2 linked regions of the Pelodiscus sinensis genome follow. The protein of the gene in region 1 interacts with the protein of each later gene in a biochemical or structural test. Links are inferred from orthologs where the notes say so. Each region holds a gene or a part of one and is shown on either strand. Other genes may lie near its edges.

Region 1 (8,002 bases):
AGCAGCTCCAGTGGGCACAGCCAGCAGAGGGGTGCATGTCTCCTGGCTGGGACAGGTCCAGGTTCATTTGCCCCCTGCACTCCCCAGCCAGAGTGAGTACTGCAACAAATTGTGCAACCTATGGCTTGCAAGCCATATATGGCTCACTATTGCTCTGCCCCTTCCTCAATCCCCCTCCCCACAATGGGAAGCCCACGTTGTGCTTAAGCCTTGCGCCCCTTGCAAGATTGGAGCCAGTGCTGGCTTCCGGCAGAGAAGTTAGGGGAGGGCGGAGAAAGGCCCAAGTCTCGCTGTCCAATTGGGGAAGAAGTCGAAGGCATAAACGGCCGGCTTCGCACATGCACACATTGCCTTTCCTCCCTTTCCCTCCCCCGGATGGAGGAACAAAGCAGCAACAGACACGCTTCCTGTAGGCTTTTCCCTCTGCTCCATTGGCCACAATCCAGCCAATGGAGCAGTGGGAAGCCATGCCTGGGGCAGGAAGCCTGAGAGCAGTATGGGGCACAAAAGCAGACCCGGCTGCCATCTTGCCTGTGAAGGACCCGCTGCTGCATGGCCATGTCCTTGCTGCTCCGCACACTTCTCTGATCCCGCTTCACGCCACCTGTGCGTACTGTGCACTTGTACCCGCTGGAGAGCCCCGTGGGGCCGCTGGAATCTCTCATCAGCCTGAGCACCTTGTTCCTGGCCAGCCTGGAGAGCTACAAGAAGCATGACTGAGTGGGCTGGTTCCCATCCATGCCCAGACCTGCCAGCCGGACTCCTTGCACTTCTGGCAAGGTTCGGCCTCCATTCCACACTCAATCTTTGGGCCGCTAACTTATTCCTTTTCCCATGTGGAGCAGGAGCTGGCTGCCACGTGGCAGTGACTTGTATGTTACACTGAATAAACCCTATTTCAGACACGAGGGCTGTCTAAACTGCAGAGTTTTGCGCCAAAATGGCTGTTTTTGCACAAAAACTCACAGAACATCCACACCTCAAGTGCATTTTTGTGCAAGTAAATTGACAGAATTGAGGGATTTTTGCACAAGAGTTATTCCTCTTTCTATGGGGAGGTGCGTGTGGATGGGGAACTGCCTCTTTTTGCACAAAAAAACCCTATTGAAAAAAGCACAGTTGCACTGGTGGCTATTCTGTGAATAGCTTTCTTTCAAGAGAGCGTCCATTCAGTCTGGACTCTCTTGTGCAAAAGCGCATTGCTTTTTCAATGTGCTTTTGCAGTGTGGATACTCTTTTGCACAAGAAGTTTTTGTGGAAGATCTCTTCCGCAAAAAGCTTCTTGTGCAAGAAGCCTGTAGTGTAGACATAGCCTGGGAAAAAATAGTACCGCCCAGACTGCACCCCCACCCACCTCACGACCCTGTACCCCAGGCTATGCCTGCCCCTTTCCCCTGGCCATACACCTACCCCCAATCTCTCCTGTCCCCTCCCCCTTGTCCAGACATTCACCACCAGCCTGCTCCTTCCCCCTCCCCCATGGCCAGACACACACCTGCATCCTTCTCCTGCACCACCACCACCCCCGCCAGACACCTGCCCACAGCCCAGTCCTGCCACCTACCCTCTGGCCAGAAACCTGCCCCCTGTCTGCTTCTGCCCCCTCTCCTCTGGCCAGACTCCCTACTCCCAGCCTGCTCCTTCACCCTACCTCCCTCACATATCCTGCATCCCATCCCAACCCCATTCACTGGCATTTCTGTCCCACACACTGGACCCCTCACTTTTGGCCCCACCCAGAACCTAGGGAGGCCCGCAAAATCCACTAAGCCCCGGAACCCCAGAAGAGTTAATCTGGCCTGAGGCCTTGAACCTCAGTCCTCCCTGCTCCTTCTCCCCCCACATGGGGCTGGAGTGCCAGGGGAGTGGGGTGTCTCAGTTGGGGGTCACATCAGTGAGGGTTGTGTATTTTTTGGAGGGTATGACGGAGCGTACCCACTCTGCACTGGTCAGGAGGGGGTTAACTCAGCCCTGAGGGCAGAGGAGGATGCACCCCCTTTAACTTACTGGGCATGCTCAGGCTGTACTACTATAAAAGAGAGCAGCTCAGCTAGGCTGATAGCTGGAGGGAGAGGTTATGCTGAGTCAGCTTCCTGCAAGCCCCAATGCCTAACTAGAGGTCAGGACACCTCTTGAGACCTTGTTAGGTCCAGGGGAAGGGAGAGGTACCTGAAATATGTGGGGATGTGGTGGAACCAAGACTCACCAAGGAACTGAGACCTGGTGAAGCAGAAAGCAGCCCAGGAGTGGCAATGGCTACTGGGGTGAGTGAGCCACTGTTGAGAAGTCAGTGTGTTGTGGTCAGGATTTCCCTGCTGACTTAATTGTGTGAGCAAGCCACTAACAGGGCCCTGGGCTGGGGTCCAGTTGAATGGGAGTGTCTGGACCCCCCCTGCCAGGGGATACAAACCTTTCTCTTGCCTACTAACTCTTCAACAGACTTCTACCTTAAGGTTATGGCAGGACTATTGAACTGTGCTGCCCTGACCATAGAGGCATTTAAGCAGCATTTAATGAAGTCTGAGTACAATGTTTCATTTATGCTATTATTAATCATGCCAGTTATCAATATTAGGTTGCATATTTTCAGTGATGCAAATGGGTGTTCTTATACAGCTCTTTGTTGACTGCTTGATCTGAATTTTTATGTAGTTTGGCTCTTTGGTTTGAAAAGGTTGCTGACCCCTGCTCTGGGGGAACAGCCAGCAACGTCCCTGTATGAATCTGAAGGGAGATTCCTTCAGCACCCATGCTCTTCCTCAGTGCACACAAATTTATTCCAGACATGGATGGAGATTAAAGGGAACATTGCTCCTGACCTCCCTTTGTCTAGCAAATTTCTTCGTTCGGACTGGTCAGGCCCCAAAGATGCTGAATCAGGGAGGTCCAATGTGCCATCAAACCTTCCAGAATATTGCTGAATCAGTGCCGCATAACACTTTATATAGAGCACTTGTGATTGTTGATAACCACTTCAGTGTAAATTATTGGTACTGATTTTTGTTGTTGTAAGGAGTAGGTTGGGAGAGAGGTGTGTCGATGAATGCTATTGTGGATTAGGAAACAGGGGACATCCTGTAAGGTGATGAGTTTAAAGTACAGTACATGTATTAGATTTGTTATGAGAGGACAGTCAAGTGGTAATGAGTAGTTTTCAACTGTTTGTCTTGTACATTAAATTTATTCTTGCCTTTTCTCTCTGGATTCACAGGTAATAGAGGTGAACAAGATGATCATCCACTTTTCCAGGACACAACTAGATGGAAATACTACTATTTCTTCCTCTACATCACAAATCTTGAACAAAATCATTGTGGGCTAAGTTCAGTTTAGACTATAACTGTGAGGAGAGTCCTCTGGAAGGGTGGAAATGCCCAGGTATATGGGAAAAGGAAGAGATGGTACAATTCATATGTAGCTAGGAAAGTCTCCATTCATCTTATCCAAAAAGAGGGTTTATTTGAGGTTCCAGTGAATTTTAGTTAAGATACGGTTTTGCCAAGTTAAAGATGGCAACCCTATCTGGCCCAATTCCACCCTCCCATAGAATGGGAATTCTCAACATGGGTATCTGGATTAGCTGGCATTTACACCAGTATTAATAAAATTGTTAACATAACAAAAAATGAATTACTCTGATGTGAGAGAATGTATACCTGTTAGGGCTATATTCTAAGGTACTGAGGTAAGGAGCATTTTTCCTTTGCAGCTTATGGGTTTTGTGCCTTGGAGATGGGGAGGTGTTCAGATGTGAATTTCAGACATTTAAAGACAGTATATGTGAAATCTCTACTTATTCACAGCATCCCAACGGCCAGCCTGCAAAAGCTTTAGACTGTAAAGTGATCTGGTTCTGGTCAGTTTACTAGGAAACATTCCTGATTACAGACCTTAGCTTAATGGCTGTCAAGAGCTACTGAATTATTTCTCTTTTTTCCATTACCTTATCCTGAGTTTGACAGAAATAGCTGTCCAGAGTAAATTGCTTCATAATGTAAATCTAGGGCTTTATTCAGTCTCTAGTAGGGGTTTGATTGGGGGGAGGTTTGAGTCAAATTCTGATTCATTAACCAAAAAATAACCTGATTATTCACTGCCTTACACCATGTGCTAAGTTCCCATATGTAGATTTTTTTCCCCCTGTTTGTGTGCAGAATAAATGTGTGCTACAGGTAGGTTTTTAGTTTCTACCTGTGGGTACTCTTCTAGGCAGCAGTTGAATCCCTCCTGAGTTGCCACACAAGCACAGGTTAAAGAGAATACTGCTATGTCCACGCAGCTGCCTAGTAGGCACTCAAGTAACCTCCCCCTACCTTGCCTGGCCTCCAGCCTACCTTGGCCAGGGTAGGGCCAACCTGAACGAGTTACCTCCCGGCTTCAGCTCTCTGTTCCAGCCTTAAATCACTCATCCATACCCCATCCACGAGTGTGCACCCCCTGGCACCATAGACCTTCACCCCGCAGTAGTAATAGTTAGGTGCACCGCAGTGGTTTTGATGTGTGATCATCTTCATGTTAGTGCACGGAACAAAATTTATTCTGCTCCAGGGTGGGAAATGTAGGCGGGAACACTGCGCAGCTGTAGTCATTTGGATTTGTTCAAAATGTAAACTGCCCTAGAAGAGTAAAATGCTAACAAAGAGGAATGGAAGCATTTTACACTCCCTCTTCCCAGCTGTGAAATGGCCCCATCAGCTGGGACAAAAAGGGGGCCTGTGTCACAGCGAAAGGGGGCAGGGGGGCCGAGCGCGTGGTCGGGGTCTGGCTTTCCTAGAGCCACACACTGGGAGTGGCGGAAGGAGACGCCGCAGTTGGGGGGGGGGGGGCTCCTAGTGCAGCGCGAATGCAACTGTCTCGAGCCTCCCCGGCTCCTGCGGGCGGCCCCGGCAGCCCCCTTGCCCCCAGCTACCTGCGAGCGCCGGGGATTGGCTGCGCCGGCCCCGCCCCCAGCTGCTGACGTAGGCGGGCTCGGTTTGACGGGCAGGTATGGCCGCGGCGCCATGTTGCGAGCGGAAGCGGGGAGCGAGCGGCGCTGAGGCAGGGTAGCTCGCTCCGCCCGGCGGGAGGAGGGGAGGAAGCGGCAGCAGCACCAGAGTAGCCGCCGGGTAGGGCCCCGCGCCGCGCCCGCACCAGGGTCCCTCGCCCTGTCGGAGCCGGGGGCTGCCCCGATCCTGCCCCGGCCCCGCGGGGGCGCTTGAAGGCGGCGCGCGAAGGCGGCGGCGGAGTCGAGCGGGGACGATGCCGCTGGCGCAGCTGGCGGACCCCTGGCAGAAGATGGCTGTGGAGAGCGCGGCCGAGAGCAGCACGGAGGTACGGGGCCGGGGTGGGGAGCGGCGCAGAGACACGCCGGCCCCCCTGGCAATGGGGGCCCTAGCTCCGTGGCCCCGGGCGCGTTGCCCTTGAGCGAGCGCCCGGCGGGGCAGGGGCTGTGAAACACCCGCCGCTCTGCTGGGCTACGGCCCCCCGGGGCCGGGACGCGCTGTCCCGCGTGGCGGGGCGATGATGGGGAGCGCGCCTGTCCCGGGGCTGGGCTGAGCGAGGTGTCGCGACTCCCCCCCCCCCCCCCCCCCGCCGTTTGTGGGAAACTTTCCTTGGCCGCGTGTGCGGGTCGCTCGGCCGCGGGGGCGCCGCGGAGCTGGCCGGAGCTCATAGGTCAGGGGAAGGCCGGAGGGAGCCGCACAGGACTTTTCCCCTCTCCCAGCAGCTGCTGCTGCTGCTCGGAGCTCAGTCCTGGCGTCTGGCTCCCTCCTTGGCCCGAGCGAGTCCTGGCTGGGTGCCGCTTCCTTGTCCGGAGTGACCGACCCACACGCACCGGGGAACCGGCCGGGACCCCACCACTTCCGGAGGAGGTGGGGAGGCTTAGCCTGCACCCTTCCTCCGCTGGGAGCAGAATAACCTGCTTCTGCGTCGCTGCAGGACTTGGCTGGTTTCGTTCCGTTCCGGTATCTGGTTACTGTCACCGCGAGCTACCTCCTCCCGGAGTGGCCCAGCCTCCTCCACAGCATTTCCCAGCTAGCGGATACGGGGTTTAGGAAGACTAGCGTCTAGTAGGGCAACTCTGCATAGCCACCTGCCCCTTTGGCAGGCCAGGCAAGCATATAAGAAGCCTGGCTTCACCTTGCTTAACGGTCTCTCCTTTTCCTTTCTGTGCTGTTGGAAAAGCTCACCCACTTCTCCCATCCTGAAATGCCTTTATTTAGACAGACCTGGATTGTGTCTGCTGTTGCTGTTTTGCAAGCATTTGGGATACCACACGTTGGTAACATTTTCTGTTTGGCCAGTTATGGAAAACATCTATGTGATGCTGTGCAGTGTGGTTTCCTGCTGTTCACAGTGAGGGGCAGTGGGACGTTAATGAGTTATGACATCAAAGTCACAGTTCCGGATGCATTTTTAGTTACTAGTCAGTTGTTCCACGTGCTGGTGAAGAAATTCAGATCCAGCCCAAGTGGGGTAATAATTTAGAGCTTCGGTCACTTCCACTTTTTCTTAAATAAAGAATTGTGTGCTAATGTGGTTTGGAAATCAGATGATAAAGGCTCAAAAGATTTGTAATAATGCTGAGAAACTTGTCCCATTGCTTCCTGACAGACTGCAGATTAGTTTGCCCTCCAATTAAGTGGTTTTGATACCACAATAATTTAAAAATACCTATCCTCCTTACAGTAGTTTTCTCATTAACCTTCCAAGTGGGAGTTCTAGGTGAAATAATTTAGGAAAGGAGAATAATTACTAAGGAATTTTACACTTGTTCTAAGAGGACAAATATTTTTTTCCTTCCTGAGACTTATCCAGCATGACTGAATTTTATCATGTAAACTGTCACTTTAATTGACACTCTGTTATATATATTTATAATTAGGGAACATATCAGCTAACTGCTCTGAATATAAGGAAGCCACACTGCTAAATTTAGAAGGTGTTGCATTAATGGATGTGTGTTACTAAATATGTTACGTTTCCATTATTTGCTTGATTTCTCATCTTTCAAAATTCTGGTTTTGGAGGCTACAAACTGAATAATTTATGAAGACTTTTAAAACAAACATTTCAAAGTGTATTCAGTCACTTTATAAAGAAAAGTTACACATGTAAACAAGGCTGTCGTGCACTTTTATTACATGAAACTTAAAAGTTACCTAGAAGCATTACAAAAATAATAATAGCTTATATCTGAAAGGTTTATAGTGTAAGGCTCAAGCGTAACAAATACTGTGCTTCATATGAGTGTAATCCCAAATTATTTCAGGTTTATTTCTTAGACAGGACACAGATAATCATTGATGTTTTTAGTGAATATTCATATTGCCTGTGTGTGGTGGTATTTTAGTACACATTTGCTGTGGAATAGATTTAGTGTTCTAAGTTACTACAGTGGAACCTCTCAGTTATAAAAATTTTGGTGATGGTGGTTGTTTATAGTTCTGAATAGCAGGTTCTGGTTCTTTCAAAAGTTCACAACTGAATTTTGACTTAATTCCAATTTGAAACTTTACTACACAGAAGGAAAAGTGCTTCTTTTAACCACCTTAATTTAAATGAAGCAAGTGTAGAGACAGTTTCTGTGCCCTGTCAAATCTTTTTCTAAACTTTCCCTTTGTTTAGTAGTTTACATTTAACACAGTACAATACTGTATTTTTTTTTTCTTTTGGTTTCTGCCTCTGGCTGATTGCATACTTCCAGTTCCAAAAGGAGGTGTGTGGTGGATGGGTCAGTTTGTAATTCTGGTGTTTATAACTCTGAGGTTCTACTGTTTGAAGAACAATTATGAATATTTGATTAGAATATTAAATGTATATTAGGGATGTTAAATTCAATTAATTGAATTTAATCTAATAGTCAATGCAATTTACTCGATTAGTCGATACTTCAAAGGCAGAGGTGCTGTATAGCAACAGCTGTTGCTACACTTCAAAGGCGAAAGCACTGCAGGGAACGCCTGGCCAGTGGAGCAGTCTCCCACTGGACCTGTGCTCCCCATGGAGTTTCAAAGCAACAGCA
Region 2 (7,219 bases), on another chromosome or scaffold:
CGCCACCTGACTCCAGGCAGCCGCATCGCCTGGCACAAAGGCAGAGGTCCACCTGGGTCAGTCCTGCCAGGCAGACACACAGAGATCCAGGCCCCGGGAAGTAGCGCCCGACCCCAGCCACTGTGAGCCCTGGGATTTGGGATCCAGTCCCGTAGCACATGGGATGGCACAGCAGACACTGCACTGGGGCTGTGCTCCCCACGCAGCCCATCCGTTCAGCAGCAGAACCGCCCCTGGATCTGCTCAGAGGCTTTGCCCAGCCTCCTCCGTGGCTCTGAAGGGCTGAGAGCTGGTCTCCAGACCCCGCAATGCAGGATCTTGGTGTTGCTGGCTGGGCCAGGGAAGGGCAGTGCACGAGGGGACCAGAGCACAGGGCCATGCGGTAGGGTTGTAGCTGCAGCAGCACTCTGGCCTGGCGTAGCTCCCACAAGCCCCAGCACCCTGGGGCCAAGCTGGCCTGGATCTGAGTCCCACAATGCAGCCTGGAGCTGGGCGGCCCCCTTCAGAGACCCTCCTCCACACAGAGAGTTGGGCTGAGCTCTGACGGCTCCCAGGGCAGAGCAGCTCCTTGAGGGATGCTCCCACCCCTGAGAGCGTTCCCTGGGGCCTGGGTCAAAAGCCCAGCTCTGGGTCCGGCACAAGCCACTTGAGCGGGATGCTGGAATCGAGGGAGGGGGATGGTTCCCCAGCCTCGGCTAGATACGCCAGACGAGATCCGGCTGGTCTGTAATGCCTGTGTCTGTGAAGGGGAGTCCCAGGCAAGGTCCTTTCCCAGGGCTGTCGGATTATAGGCCCCGAAGCCTGAGGTGAAGGGGCCAGGAGAGCGAGGGGGTGACAGGGAAGCAGGGTCCAGTCAGTCAGGAGGCCAATGGGGCTGCCCACAGCCCTGTGCCCATTCCAACAGGCCATGTTGCCTCCCCGGGGTGTCAGTCCAGAGCGCAGCAGCACCCCCCTCAGCCCTGCCCAGGCAACACGGCAGTGGCAGCTTGGGCACCTGAGAACAGCCACAGAGACAAGGGGACCTGCGGGGTTGGGTCCTTGGAGCCACAGGCAGGGAGGACGAGGAGAAATCCCCTGCCCAGGAGCTGGCACAAGGCAGTAGGCACGACAGTCTGGATTTCTAACCCAAGGGACAGAGCCATTTCCCTGCGGGCGCTGTGCTGAAGGAATCAGAGGAGGGGACTCATAGAGACATGCTCCTTCAGTGAGTGCTGACCCCAATGCCCCAGTGTGACACTAGAGGGCACTGTGCAGTAGGGCATGGGGGACGGAGGACCTCTCTCCCCCCTGCACCAGTGCTGATCCCTCTGTGGTGCTGGGCCTGCTGTTTGCCTGGATTAGACCCATAACCCCACAATCCAGCCCTCCACCCCAGTGCCACAAGCATTGAGGTTTTAGGCCACATTTCAGCTAGGGCCACTGGTTAATTATATTCCACCATAGTAAATTCTCTCAGATGTTCACACTGGACACAAGATTCTTGTCCCATGCTGTAATATTGTTCTGTGCTGTTAGACAGCTGCCATGCCATGCCCCAGAGGTGGCTGCATATCAGAGCTGGCTGAGTGAGCTCCATGCAGCGGTGTTTTGTGGCTGTTAGGCAGCTGCCATGTCCTGCCCCAGGGGTGGCCGCATATCAGTGCTGGGTGAGTGAGCTCCATGCAGTAGTGTTGTGTTGCTGTTAGGCAGCTGCCATGCCCTACCCCAGAGGTGGCTGCATATCAGTGCTGGGTGAGTGAGTTCCATGCACTGGTGTTGTGTGGCTGTTAAGCACCTTCAGTACTGGGTGCAATGACCAATTTTACCCACTTCCCCGCGAGGCTCTAGCAGTGTGAAATGTTCTGTGGCCCTGGGCTGGAAGCAGAGCCCCCCAGCAGGGATGGGTGACACTGGCTGACCTGATGGCTGCAGCCCGAGGGGGCCCTGCTGCGATCTCATTATGCAGTGGTATGAAAACACATGGAGCTGGGATTAGGGTATTTGTGAAACACCCCATGGATGGCAGGGGGCCAGAGGCAGCCAGCAACACCCAGCATCAGGCCTGCATGGAGCACACAGAAAGACCAGCTCAGCCATGGTGTCTGCCCAGGGGCACCAACCTACATAGACACAGATGCCCACCTTCTCCCAGGGGCAAATGCCGGGGGGTGGGGCAGATATGAGAGAGAGACTCATCCCTCACTAACCACATGCTCTCTCTGTTTGGGTCAGGGTCTCATTAATGTCCCTGGCTGAGTCTAACCCCTCCATGGCTTTGCTCCAGCTGCTTGCACCCTGTTCCTTTACCCAATCTCCCCACATGTGCCCCCGGATGCATTCCTAGCCTCCTCCCCAGAGCACCCCCTGCTGGGAGAAGTTGGGACTGGTGCAGCTGGGAGCTTCCTGTCCCGCCAACGCTGCTGTCCTGCTCCCTGCAGTGCACCCCCTGCTGGGCGAGGCCAGGCCTGGTGCTGCAGTGAATGCTGCCTAGCCAGCACCTCCTACACCATTCCCAGTGGCAGCCGTGGCAGCCTTCCAAACAGCTGTAGCTCTCGGTTCACATCATCTAGGAACTGGAGCTGGCAGCCACGCAGGAACCGATTCTGGCCTCCCTCGGCCGGAGCAGGCAGCAGATCCCTGCATTGCAGAGCAGAAGCGAGTGCGGCCAGGCTGCTCTTTCCTCTTGTGCCCTAAAGTGCAGCTAGAAGCCAGGGCCCCATTGTCACACCTTTGCCTGGGGCCCCACCAGCAACCAGATGGGCAAACCCAAGGGTCTGGAACTGCTTGCTCATCTACTCCCAGCTGCCATTTCTCTGACAGTCTCTCTCCCCCCCCCCCACCCCCGTCCCCCCATGGAGGAAGTGAAAGTGCCCAGTTCCTCCTTTCGATCTTACTCCTACCCTGCTCTGATCATGCTGGGTTTGGGTGGCCCCCGCTGACAGGGCAGGGTAGCGGAGGTGGGAGGAAGGCCAGATGGGCTGTCCCTGTGGGCAACACAGGAGTGGCTGTGGGGGTTGGAGGGAAGCAGGCTTAGGGCTCTGCAGGAGCCAGGCTCAGGGGTGTGGAAAGGGGGCAAGGAGCCAGATTGGGGGCTGCACCCCCTGGCAGCTGGTTGCAAAGTCTGTGTGGTTCTTTAGATGCTTCTTTTTCACTTCCCAGAACCCCAGATGCCAGCAGTGCAGAAACACATAAATGACCCTGCAATAACAAACCAGCGAGTGCAGCCTGGCATTGCTGGGTGACCCTACAATAACAAAGAGGCCAGTGCAACCATTCATTGCAAGGTGACCCTACAATAACAAACGGCCAGTGCAACCATTCATTGCAAGGTGACCCTACAATAACAAAGCAGCCAGTGCAGCTGCAGGGTGACCCTACAATAACAAAGCAGCCAGTGCAGCCATTCATTGCAAGGTGACCCTACAATAACAAAGCGGCCAGTGCAGCTGCAGGGTGACCCTACAATAACAAGCGGCCAGTGCAACCATTCATTGCAAGGTGACCCTACAATAACAAGCGGCTAGTGCAGCCATTCATTGCAAGGTGACCCTACAATAACAAAGCAGCCAGTGCAGCTGCAGGGTGACCCTACAATAACAAGCGGCCAGTGCAGCCATTCATTGCAGGGTGACCCTACAATAACAAACGGTCAGTGCAGTCCAGGGTAACTAAGTCTCCAGTGTGAAGGGAGGATGGTGAATGGGGCTGGTGGGAATGGAGCTGCTCTGCCGGGACAAGGGCAGGGGATCTCATTTGAGGATGGGAACTGGACTCCCCCTTGGAGTCAGAGGTTCTGTCCCTGGGCCTGGGCCTGGGCCCTGCAGGGGAGGCAGGAGCTGCCCTGGTGGCCCTCTGCTCTGTGCAGCTTTGTTGGGAAGAAGGGGAACCGGCTAAACCCCAGTCCAGGTGCAGGCTGAGAATCAGGGGCCGGCTCCCGTTTACACTAGGAGAGGATCCGGAATCGTCTCCCCCCGGCTTACCGCAGCCCCTCAGAAATGAGGTGAAACCAGCTGCAAAATGCAGCCGGCCGGGACGGGTCCGTTTCACTTTGTGCCGGGAGCCGGCTGCGGGGGTCCCGGCGTGTGGGGGTGGCCAAGCCCCGGGAAGGGGTCAGGACTGGGCTATGTCCAAAGGCCCCTGGGCTGGTCCCCGGAGCTCGGTGCCGGGGCTGGAGGGTTGCGGGGAGGGGCGGCGCGTGGCAGGGCCGCGGGAGGCGAAGGGTTAAATGCCTCGGCGGCGGTGCCAGCCCGGCGAGCGAGGGGGGTGCAACAAAGGCGCCTTCTCTGCCTCCCGCACGCTCGCTCGCTCGCTCCCCGGCGCTGACATCAGCGGGCGCTCGCTGCCTCCGGGAGGCGAGTCCAGATCGCGCCAGGCGCGGCGGGACCGCCCCAGCCCCGAGCTCCAGCCCCAGCCGAGCCGTCCGCAGCCGGAGCCGGTGAGTTGCTGCTGCCGGGGAGGAGAGAGCGGGGCGCGGGGGATGGTCCTCGCGGGGCGCCCTTGGCGGGCTGGGGGGGATCGGGGCTTGAGTCCCCGCTCGGTCACCGGGTCCCAGGCGCTGGCTCCCAGCGCCCGCCCCGGGGCAGCCGCCGGCTCCATGCGGACTCAGAGCCCGGAGCGTCCGGCCGCATGCGGCTGGCGGGGACCCACCCTGCGCCGGGGAGGCGCGCCCGGCTGAGGCAGCGCCCTGCCAGCTCCAGCTGCCGCTCCCCGCACACACCCCGCTCAGCTCTGGACGGGACCCCCCCCCCGCACACACACACCCCTCCCCGCACACACCCCGCTCAGCTCTGGACGGGACCCCCCCCCCGCACACACACACCCCGCACACACCCCGCTCAGCTCTGGACGGGACCCCCCCCCCCCCGCACACACACACCCCGCACACACCCCGCTCAGCTCTGGACGGGACCCCCCCCCCCGCACACACACACCCCGCGCACACCGCTCAGCTCTAGACGGGACCCCCCCCTGCACACACACCCCTCCCCGCACACACACCGCTCAGCTCTGGACGGGACCCCCCCCCCCCGCACATACACACCCCTCTCACACCGCTCAGCTCTAGACGGGACCCCCCCCTGCACACACACCCCTCCCCGCACACACACCGCTCAGCTCTGGACGGGACCCCCCCCCCCCGCACATACACACACACCCCGCGCACACACCGCTCAGCTCTGGACGGGACCACCCCCCCCCCCGCACACACACACCCCTCCCCGCACACACACCGCTCAGCTCTGGACGGGACCCCCCCCCGCACATACACACCCCTCCCCGCACACACACCGCTCAGCTCTGGACGGGACCCCCCCCCCCGCACACACACCCCGGGCGGGACCTCCCCCCCGTGCACACACACCCCGCACACAAACCGCTCAGCCCGGGGCGGGACCCCCATACACGTGCTGCTCCCGGTGGAACGTGCCGCCTGCCCTGGAGTCAGCCCTGCCGCTACCCCCTTGGGGCACCAGGCTCCGCATTCTTCCCTGGTGCCTAGCTGGGGCAGCCCCCCAGCCCCTGGCCTCGGGCTAGGGTGATGCCAGCTGCTGTCCCGCTTCCTTGTGCTCGGTGCTGTACAAACCCGGCCCCCAACCGGGAGAGTCACCAGCCTCCTTCTGCGGCTTCTCCTATGGGGAGCCCCCATCCCCCGGCAGCTGCTCGTGCACCCCGGGCTCCCCCAGCGGCCAGCTTCCATTCCCCCGGCTGCCCTTGCTAGTGGGGGCCGGATGGGGGGTTGCAGGGCTGCCCAGAGGGGAAATGGTGAAATCTAGAGGGGGTGGGGAACTGGCCACTCCATGACTCCGGGCATGATTCAGTGGCTGGGCCTGGAGGCTGCTGGCTGCCTGCTGCTGGGCTGTTTCACAGCCCAGGTCTGCTGCTGGGGCCCCATTCAAGGGAAACCTCTGGGCAGCTGGCAAGTTGGCCCAGGGAGACAGCCCCAAAGCCCCAAGGTGTGTGGAAAAGAGCTGGGCGCCTTGGATTCAGTAGCCCCCCACCTCTGCCCCCGGCCCGACTCATTTTATCTCCCAGGTCTGCTTCCCGGGGGAGCTGGCTGGGGCAGGGACCCTGGGTCGGGGCACAAGGGGGCCCTGCTCTGGACTGGACTCTCCAGGGCACATGGGGGTGAGGGCGCTGATGCCTTGCAGAGCCCTGGGAGATGTGCTGGTGAAAGGGACTCAGGCAGAGCAAGGCGGAGCCTGGTCACGGCCGGCTGGGGAAAGGTGAGAGGGGGCAAAGGATGTGTTGGGGCACTGTGCTCCCCCGCACAGGGGGGTGCGTCTCCAGCCAAGCTCCTGGCTGTTCAGTCTCCCTCTAAATGCTGTTTACTAGAGTGGGGTAGGTTGGGCCGGTCTCCCAGCTGTGTCTGATCTCTGGTCGCTAGAAGCAACAGCGGGTTAGGGGCCAGTCTGAGGCCGCTGGGGTTCAGGGTTAGATCTGGGAAAACTGGGGGTCAGGTCACCTCGGTTCCATCTCCAGCCCTGGAGGAGCATGGGGTCTAGAGGCTTGGGCACAGGGTGGAGTCGGGACACTTGGGTTCTGTCCCCTCCTCTGCTGCTGACTCGGTGTGTGACCTTGGGCATGTCATGTCCTCCGTGCCTCAGTTTACCCTTCCATCACATTGGGCTGAGGACACTGAGCTGTGCCTTGGGGGAGGGAGCTATTTCTAGAGGGTCTCTGCCTGTGGGTGGAAGGTGTTGGAGGACTGTTATTTTTGACCCTCTGGGACTCCTCTGGTTGCTGCGAATCTGCCATTCCTGGGCTGGAGTCTCCTGCACGTGAGCGGCCAAGCCCACTGAAATGGAAAGGTCTCTGGTGCTGGGGGACTGATCTGTGGCTTGGGGGAAATATTTAGGGCCTGATCCTCATTTGCTCCAAGGCTCCCACAGCCCCCTCTGTCCGGAATGGTAATTGACAAACCCCCTCTGTCCTGTAAAGGACAACTGGGGGCCCTATGCCTCTAGCTCTAGAGATGGCCCCACACCCCACCCACCCTCTCCTGGTGCTCACCCCCCCCCCCCCCAAGCCGACACTTGGACAGCAGGGGAAGTGCGTGTATGGAGAGCAAGACTCCAGCTAGATCTGCTCCAGCTCCTGGTCTGGATGTGCTCGAGCGCCCAGGCGACCCAACCCCTCCATTATCCAAGGCCCCTGCCGGCTGATTTTGGTGCTGACCACATTCTGCACGGGCTACCCACAGGCACGTGCAGGCTGCCTCGCCCAGAGCTCAGTGCCCACT

The links.
Region 2: the proteins of RPS6KA3 (region 1) and PEA15 form a complex in vitro, tested with the Homo sapiens proteins (2 studies listed by BioGRID). The link is inferred for Pelodiscus sinensis from reciprocal best matches to the Homo sapiens genes RPS6KA3 and PEA15.

What each region holds. Positions count from the first base shown.
Region 1 is NC_134711.1:208,009,431-208,017,432, forward strand, and holds the start of RPS6KA3 (ribosomal protein S6 kinase alpha-3), read left to right. Parts: upstream 1-4,967; 5' UTR 4,968-5,238; coding exon 5,239-5,310; intron 5,311-8,002. UniProt on the Homo sapiens protein: Serine/threonine-protein kinase that acts downstream of ERK (MAPK1/ERK2 and MAPK3/ERK1) signaling and mediates mitogenic and stress-induced activation of the transcription factors CREB1, ETV1/ER81 and NR4A1/NUR77, regulates translation through RPS6 and EIF4B phosphorylation, and mediates cellular proliferation, survival, and differentiation by modulating mTOR signaling and repressing pro-apoptotic function of BAD and DAPK1.
Region 2 is NC_134734.1:14,495,676-14,502,894, forward strand, and holds the start of PEA15 (astrocytic phosphoprotein PEA-15), read left to right. Parts: upstream 1-4,213; 5' UTR 4,214-4,414; intron 4,415-7,219. UniProt on the Homo sapiens protein: Blocks Ras-mediated inhibition of integrin activation and modulates the ERK MAP kinase cascade. Inhibits RPS6KA3 activities by retaining it in the cytoplasm. Inhibits both TNFRSF6- and TNFRSF1A-mediated CASP8 activity and apoptosis.